2 linked regions of the Canis lupus familiaris genome follow. The protein of the gene in region 2 purifies or fractionates together with the protein of the main gene of each other region. This does not show direct contact. Links are inferred from orthologs where the notes say so. Each region holds a gene or a part of one and is shown on either strand. Other genes may lie near its edges. The genes, in order: COPS4 and STK11.

What was found.
Region 1: the proteins of STK11 (region 2) and COPS4 purify together in Homo sapiens (affinity purification with mass spectrometry; 4 studies listed by BioGRID and IntAct, with this or other methods). This does not show direct contact. The link is inferred for Canis lupus familiaris from reciprocal best matches to the Homo sapiens genes STK11 and COPS4.

Annotation. Positions count from the first base shown.
Region 1 is NC_049253.1:33,023,801-33,027,609, forward strand, and holds part of COPS4 (COP9 signalosome complex subunit 4), read right to left. Parts: intron 3,076-3,809; coding exon 2,996-3,075; intron 1,075-2,995; coding exon 923-1,074; intron 356-922; coding exon 252-355; intron 1-251. UniProt on the Homo sapiens protein: Component of the COP9 signalosome complex (CSN), a complex involved in various cellular and developmental processes.
Region 2 is NC_049241.1:58,056,899-58,061,213, forward strand, and holds the start of STK11 (serine/threonine-protein kinase STK11), read right to left. Parts: upstream 2,890-4,315; 5' UTR 2,752-2,889; coding exon 2,462-2,751; intron 1-2,461. UniProt on the Homo sapiens protein: Tumor suppressor serine/threonine-protein kinase that controls the activity of AMP-activated protein kinase (AMPK) family members, thereby playing a role in various processes such as cell metabolism, cell polarity, apoptosis and DNA damage response.

The sequences.
Region 1 (3,809 bases), on a different chromosome or scaffold from region 2:
CTTCAAGTGTCTGAGAAGATGTACCTGGACCACCCTTCCACTCCAATCATCCTATTTAATGATACAACCTGTTCCCCAACTTTTCCTTTACTTTTTTCTATAGCACGTATCACCTTCTAATTACTACAACATATATGTACTTATTAAATTATTTATGATGTTTTTTGCACTAGAATGTGAGAAAAAAATATAAGTGAACAGTGATACATAGCCTATATACATGTCCATCCAATATCTACTATTTACTATACTTTTGTCCTGTTTCCAAAGGAATTCCCACCAACACTTGGGCTGCATTTCTCCAATCTTCCTCTTTCTCATATATGGATGCAAGATGCTGTCTTATGGAAGCAACCTGGAATAAGAGGTGGATATGTTAAATTATTTCAACTGACATTAGTGACTAATTAAAATAAATGGATGCTAAGTTAATCTATTGTAATAATGCTTCCAATTAACATATTTAGCTGGCATGTAAATAGTACAAGTTTAACTAGACCACCCCAATTATTTTTTAAATGAATTTTGCATTCACAGAATATCAAAATACTGAACTGAAAAAACACATTTCTTGCAATGTGGATTATAGCAAGAATTTAGTATAAATATTAAACTTTCCTTTTATGTTAACTGCACATATAATGCTGGAGTTTTCCTATGTTTATAGCCTTATTAACAATTTTACTGATTCTTAAAAATTATCTAAAGAGTAATATTTGGTTCATAAATCAAATTGTAATATCTGAGGAAATATCAGCTAGAGTTATAACACCGTAATATTTATTTTTACATAGTAATATGCTGTTTGGCACACTGTTGTCAAAAATAAGACTGGATAATCATCTTCTCTAAAAATATGGTAATATCTCTCCAAAAAACTGCTGCTATCTCATGTTCAAAAATCACAGCTCTAGATTTTTACCTGCTCCTCAAATGAAATGACTCTAGGCTGGATCTTTTCCAAAGTGAAATGATAGATTTCTTTGGCTGTGCTATCAGGCAGGTTAGGGAGATGCGTACAGAAATCAGTCAGCAACTGTCGAGAGATCACGAGACTGACATTCTCATTTACCACTTGTCAAAAAAGAATAAGAGATAAGACATAAGTAAACATGAGTAATTTATAATTTTTCACTAAGCAATAAATTTTTATCTAAAATTAATATTAAAACAATATATATTAATGCAACTTTCAATGTATTATTCAGGGATTTCAAGACCCATATCATCTTATATTAGAGAATCAGTTTTCCTTATGCTGAATTATTTGATTACATAATGACTACACCAAAACAGTAAAAAATCCCACAATTTTTCTAAAAAACTGAAATCACTGGGGAAAAGTTTTGTTTTACATTTGAGAATTTTATATTGTATTTTTCCTTATTTTTCTATAAAGGGAAGGCACAGAAACACCTATATTTTTATTTACATACTTATATCCCACCTAGTTACAAAAAGGAGTTAAAGAAGAAACATAATTTTTATGAAATTTAAATAAAACAAATAGTGACAGTTACTGCCACTTGTACTTTTCCAATAAAAATATAACAAATGAGAACTGAGGTCAGCACTAGATGTACAGACATATTTAATGACATTATTTATAAACATTTATGAGTTTTTATTATTATCTGTGATTAAGGATGAAAGCTCTGAAGCCATGCTACTTCCACTGCATCTGATCAGATACCCTCAAACAAGAAACTTAACTTCTCTGTGCTTCTGTTTCCTCATCTGTAAATTGTGGATAAGGCTGCTGTGAAGCTTAAATGTACTATCTATAGAACACTTTAAACAATACGCTGCACAAAGTACTCAACAAATGTTCATTATTATTATCACTATTACTATATTTTAAAAGAGGTATCATGCTTGTGACCACTGCTCAGATAAATTAAGTCTGAGATCGGCAGTTACTGGGAAAATAAATGATGATTCAAAACCTGTTCAGCTGATATAAATGATTTTCAGTAGACGGCTTTTCTTCGTGGTTCATCGGAATCAAAGTTTATAATAAAAATCACTATTCTTTTGCTACTACAATGTAATATTCTCAATAATACTATTCCTAACAGTCTTTCTGAAGTCACTATCAGTTCATCACACATTGCAGGCCCCAATTTTTTGAGGCAGTAACTTACAATAACCTGTAACAAGCTTCTAATCAGTTTATGATATAATAATCACAATTCATTCTTGGATAATACTGGATACAGCTGAGAAAATAGTTTCATTGTAAGTACCATTAGGCACTTATAATTGTTAGAAATTACTACACAAACTAGCACTTCTCATGATGATAATGTGTGTGAAAGCACACTACAGACTGTAAAGCACTCTCAAGTGTCATTAATATTAACTCAGTATCAATTCCAGCCTGAATTTTGAGTAATTTTCAAGATAACTGGATATGTCTAAAGTCAAGAAGTAGATGAGAATGTCTTGAAGAACAGGAATTTGTAGTTTCCATTCAAATGGAATGTTCTTAATATTAACAACAGTTAACACTTATGTAGCACTTATTATATGCCAGGTACTATTAAAGCACTTTACTATGTATATTAACTCATTTAACCGCATTTAACTCATTTAACATCTCTACCAGGTAGTTATCATATCCCCATTTTATAGACAAGGAAATGGAGGCACAAAGGAATAACTTACCCAAGAATACACAACTAATAAAACAACGGACCAGACTGAATCTAGACTATTCTCTTTACCATTATGCTATATTGTCTTTCATCAGTTACTATATCAATAGCTATACAAAACCTTAATTGGTAATTGGTAATGTAAGTCTGAAGACAACTTACTAAAAAAAAAAAAAATCAAGTGGTAAATAGTTTAAATTCTAAAATCAATTTCAATGTATATTTAATTTAATCTCAATGCAAATTATATTGGTAATTTGATATAAAACAAGCTTGCTCAAGCTTTGAAGTCCTAACTCAATAATACAAGGCAAACATGGAATTTTCATTCCACTTACTTGCTTCGACAAAAGCTTTCAAAGCTTCTAGTTGTTCTGCCCCAGATAACTGAATGGCTTTTTCCAGGATCTGACGATACCTAAAACAATACCAAATAAAAATAATGTTCAGAGGACACTAAGGCTAACTTTGATGTTTATTCATTTCTATTTATCCTGGTTTCTTTCACATTGATCTAATTTATTATTTTCTTTATAGTACAGCACAGATTTTTTTTTGTTATAAGTTCCTGGTCTATCACAAGAAACACTAAATCTGGGATCCCTGGGTGGCGCAGTGGTTTAGCGCCTGCCTTTGGCCCAGGGCGCGATCCTGGAGACCCGGGATCGAATCCCACATCGGGCTCCCGGTGCATGGAGCCTGCTTCTCCCTCTGCCTGTGTCTCTGCCTCTCTCTCTCTCTCTGTGTGACTATCATAAAAAAAAAACAAAAAAACAAAAAAAAAAACACTAAATCTGTAATGCTAAAGGATCACTTCTAGTTTTCTTTACAGTATACCACAATTTTTTAAAAGTTTTCAAGCCTGGGGACACCTGGCTGACTTACTCAGTAGAGCATGAGACTCTTGATCTAGCAGGTTATGAGCTCAAGTCCCAAACATGTTGTGGGCATAGTCTACTTAAAAAAAAAAAAAAAAAAAAAAAAGTTTTCAAGCCCCCCACAAGAAAGTGAATCTGTAACTCTAAGTTATTGGATCTAATGTACCATTTTTTTCTTGAAAAAGTTTTAGTTTTGAATTTAAACTAAGAAGTCAACTTTCAGGGTGCCTAGTGGTAGCTCAGTCGGTTGGGCATCTGACATCTGACTTGATTT
Region 2 (4,315 bases):
TGAGCCTCCCCCCAAACTTGATCACAGACGTCATTTTTTTAAAAAAAGCTTCTAGTCCAAGCTGGGACTCCTGAGGCTTGTCTGGAAGGTTCCGGACACTTCACTTGGGAAAAAGCAATTGGAGTTTATTAAGCCTCTCGAAGACAAAGGAGCCTTTTTTTCCCTGCAGCCGGCTGGCAGCAAGGCTGACCCGGGAGCCCAGACCTCCTCTTGCAAGGACACCCCTTTCCTTCTCATGAAAGCCGGGTCCTGAGCTGATGAAACGGGCCAAGTGCCCTACCACTGTGACACCTTATGCCAACTGCCAAGCCAGCTGGGGACTCCCAACACTGCACCTGCCAGGCCTCAGTTTCCCCTCAGGTTCTTCTGATGGACACTGCAGGACCGAGCGCCCTGCAGCCCCAACACTGCACACCCAGATGTCTCCACCAGCTCTGGGGGCCTTGCTGACCATTCAGGAAAGCAGAGACTGGGACGCCAGCGCCCGTCAACCCCCCAGTCAGGTTCTGGTCATGTGTCTCCATGGAGCATCAGGGAACTCTTGTAGGTGGCAGTCTGACCCTGGGTGTGTGCCGTTTGTCAAGTCTCACACCGCGCGTCATGACCGAGTGCCCGCACAACAGGTACGTTGTGCCTCAGCATAGACAGGCATGTGTCCACCGCAACAGGGGTCCGCAGAGTCCTGGGGCCTGCTCCACTCTGCTGCCACCAGCCGCCCCAGAACCACTAGCAGGGTGGGCTTGGGTGCCCCAGCCACAGGTCAACTGGTGCTAGAACCCAGCCCTAGCCCTTGAACGGGACTCACGGATTCTGGGAACCTCGAGGCGCTGCTCCCAGAAGGCTGGGGTCTGGGGAAGCCCCAGCAGCACGGAGCAAAGGAGCCAGCACCCGAACATCTGCACGGACCCGGCTGCCTCCAACTAGCAGGGAAGGGACCGGCACCCTGCTGCCCACACATATCAGGGGATGAGACTGAAGAGGAGCCAGGAGGACCAAGGTGGACCTGGGACACTGGGGGAGGAGCTGTTTCCAGGGCAGGAGCTCACTGTCCCCCACCCCACAAGGGTGGCAAACAGGCAGCCCGAGGCCACATAACTCCCAGGTGCGTCTGGCTTAATGAGCCAACAGGACTTAGAAGCCAGGGGTTGAATGGGGATTTCTGACTGGAGGTGAGGGTCACCTGGACCTCAGGGGGTGCTGGCTTGCCACCTGCCTCAGTCTCCCCCACCCCACCTCACAGGTAAGAGGCTGGCCCCAGGGCACCCGGCCATCCCTTCTCGGCGCCCACAGGCTGGGCGACCAATGAAGCATCCCTCAGGTCACTAGGGATAAAAAGACCTCGCCACAACACCGCCAGGCTTGCCTTCGGACCGCACGGGAAGACGACCGCCCCGGCCAGCTGCGCATCAACAGCAGAGCCAGTCCGGTTTGGGTTCCCCGTTCCATCCACAGCTTCACCACGCCCAGACCCAAGCCAGCCCGGAGCGAGGGAACACAGCTCAGCTTCTGCGTGAGAGCCAACCCGGCCAGGAAGGGGGAGGTGCACGCGGATAGGGGAGCAGCACTTTCCAGGATGGGCCTGGAGGGACGTCCAAGGTCGTCAGTCCTGCTGCCTGGCCCGAGAGATAAACCCCTTCTGGGAAACTGGAGGCTGGGAGGAGCAGGAGCCCAGGCGGGGCGGGGACCCAGTGGGTGGCAGCCATGAGGAGGGACGCCCCCTCCTGAGATCAGCGAGAGGGATGGAGACGCACCCCCCCCCCCCGCCCCATCCTTGGGGGTTGGGGAGACTCCAGCACAGACTTCAACACCTCTGCGACGCCTAGGGGCTGACGCGCCTGAAGAAGTTTGGGTAAAAAGTTTGCCAGGACACAATCTGGTTCCTCTCCCAGGGAGTCACCTGGGCCTGCAGTCACGGATGTGTCTGGTGTCACATCCCAAGTGAGTAAGAAAAGGCTGAGTTACCCCCTGCTGACCGATAAGCCAGGGCAAACAATTATTTTTGGCAACCGCAGGGCTCCCCTCCAACAGGGTAAACAAATCGCATTTCGCCTGGCCCTAGTAACAGCTGCACGCTGCGCTGCGCAGAAAACCTGCTGGTGGTGGCCAGGGCCGTTTAGGAACACAAATTCTCAGAGCCAAATAAACATTGGCTGGTTACACTGGGCACCTAAATTCTTTCGACAGCTGGGAGGGTGAAGGGGGGGGATGGGACGCACCCTCATCTGGAAAAGGCTTGGACGCCAGCATCGGAAGGAAGGGGACACCCAGCTGCCGCAAGCTGGCCTGACTCGCCGCACGGTACCTGAGCAGGTTCCCAACAACACCTGCCCTGGGGAGGAGGACACGGGAGCTGCCCGGGCACCTCGACAGTTTAAGGAACGGGAACAAGCAAGAAGGAAAGGGGGGAGGATGACCGACCTTGCTGGCTGCCCGCGCAACGACCCAGGAAGTCCACACTTACTTCTTGACGTTCGCCTCGCCGTTGGGGATCCTCCGCAACTTCTTCTTCTTGAGAATTTTGACAGCCCTCCTGCACAGCGTCTCCGAGTCCAGCACCTCCTTCACCTTGCCGTAGGAGCCCTCCCCTAGCAGGTCTCCCATCAAGTACTTGCCGATGAGCTTGGCCCGCTTGCGGCGGGGCTGGTAGATGACTTCCGTGGAGTCGATGCGGTGGATGAACGTGTCCATCCCCACGGACATCAGCTCCCCCTCCGTAAACATGCCCAGCTGCTGCGGGTCGGCCACATCCATTCTGGACCCAGCGCCTCCGACTGTGGCCGGCGGTCCCTTATCTCCCTTATCTGCTGCCCCTGGTGCGCGGTTCTTCCTTTTGTCCCCCTAAAATTCCCTTCTCCAAAATAAAAGGCCCGAAAACAAACCCTCCCTCCCCCCCCCCAAAAAAAAAGTCAACAAAAATGCAAAAAAAGGAAAAATCGAAAAAAAAAAAAAACAGGAAAACCCCTGTCCGGAAAGAAACGATTGTACTAGTCGTGAGTTCAAGAGGCGCGCGTGGCCCGGAGCCCCGGCGGCCGCGGGCGCGGGGCGTCGCAAGTCTGGGTGCCTGCCCGCCTCGCGGCTGCGGGCCGGGCCGGCGCGTCCACGGGGGCCCTCCGGAGGCCGGTGGGGCTTCCGAGCGCTAGGTCATCCTCCAGGGACTTCAGACCCTCGGACGAGCGCCGCTGCGGCCGGGCCGAGTCCCCTCCGGGCCGGGCATCACCAGCGGGCCGGGGCGCGCGCCCAGACAGGGCCCCGCGGCGACCCGCCGGCCCCCGGGCCCCGGGCTGCGCAGCCGAGCGGTGCCGGCGGCCGGGCGCGCTGCTGGGGGCGGCTCCCGGCGGGGCCCGCCGTCCCGGGGGCCCGAGGCCGCGGCGGGCGCCTCTCCGGACGGCGCGGGGCGCAGCGGCGTCCGCCCCCGCCAGCCCCGGGCGCGCGTCGGGGGGCCGGGGGGCTGCCCGGGGCCCTCCCGCCGCGGGGAGCAACTTCCGTCGGAGCCGGCGCCCCCGCAGCGGCCGCCCCCCGCCCCAAACGGCAGCCCGCGCTCGCTCTCGGCCGCGAACGCCGCCGGCCGCGGGCCGCGGGGCGCGGGCACCCGGAGGGCTCCGAGCGGCCGCGGCGGCGCAGGCCGAAGGCCCGGGCCGGGGCTTCCCGAGGCCGCCGGGGCCCGGACGGCGAGCGCCCCCGCCGCAGCCGCCGCGCGCGTGGAGCAGGCGGGGCGGCGCGGGGGCCCAGCCCATGCAAGGCGCCGCGGAGCCGGCCGGCGCCCGCCGCCGCCGCCGCCGCCGCCTCCCGCGCCCCGCCTCAGTCGCGGACACCCCGGGCCGCCTCCCCCTTCCGCGCCCGACACGCCGCCGCCATCTTGTTTACCTCCCGCCCCCGCCCTGCGCCGCCGCGCCGCCGCACGCCCGCCCCTGCCGCCGCCGGCGTGCCCGCCCATTGGCTGAGGCGGCAGGCCCCGCCCCCGAGGCCCGCCCCGCCGCCGCCGCCGATTGGGCCGTTTGGACCCAGGCGGGCGCCCAAGTGGGGATTGGCTCACCCTCGGCCCCGCCCCGGGGGCGGCTACCGCTCGGCTCATTGGGCCGCCGAGGCGCCCGTCACGGGGAGGCGGGGCTGGCGGGAAGCGGGCGCGCGGGGAGTCGCTGCGGCGGCTCGGCCTCGGAGGGGCGCGGGGCGGCGGGCGGGGGTCGTGGGCGACAACGGCCGCCTGGGAACGGCTGTGCGGCGGGCAGCGCGCCCGCGGGCCGGGGGACTGGGCTCGGGGGCCCCGGGGCCACGCGGCCGGCCAGCGGGCGGAGCCTGCGGGGCTGGGCGGGGGGGG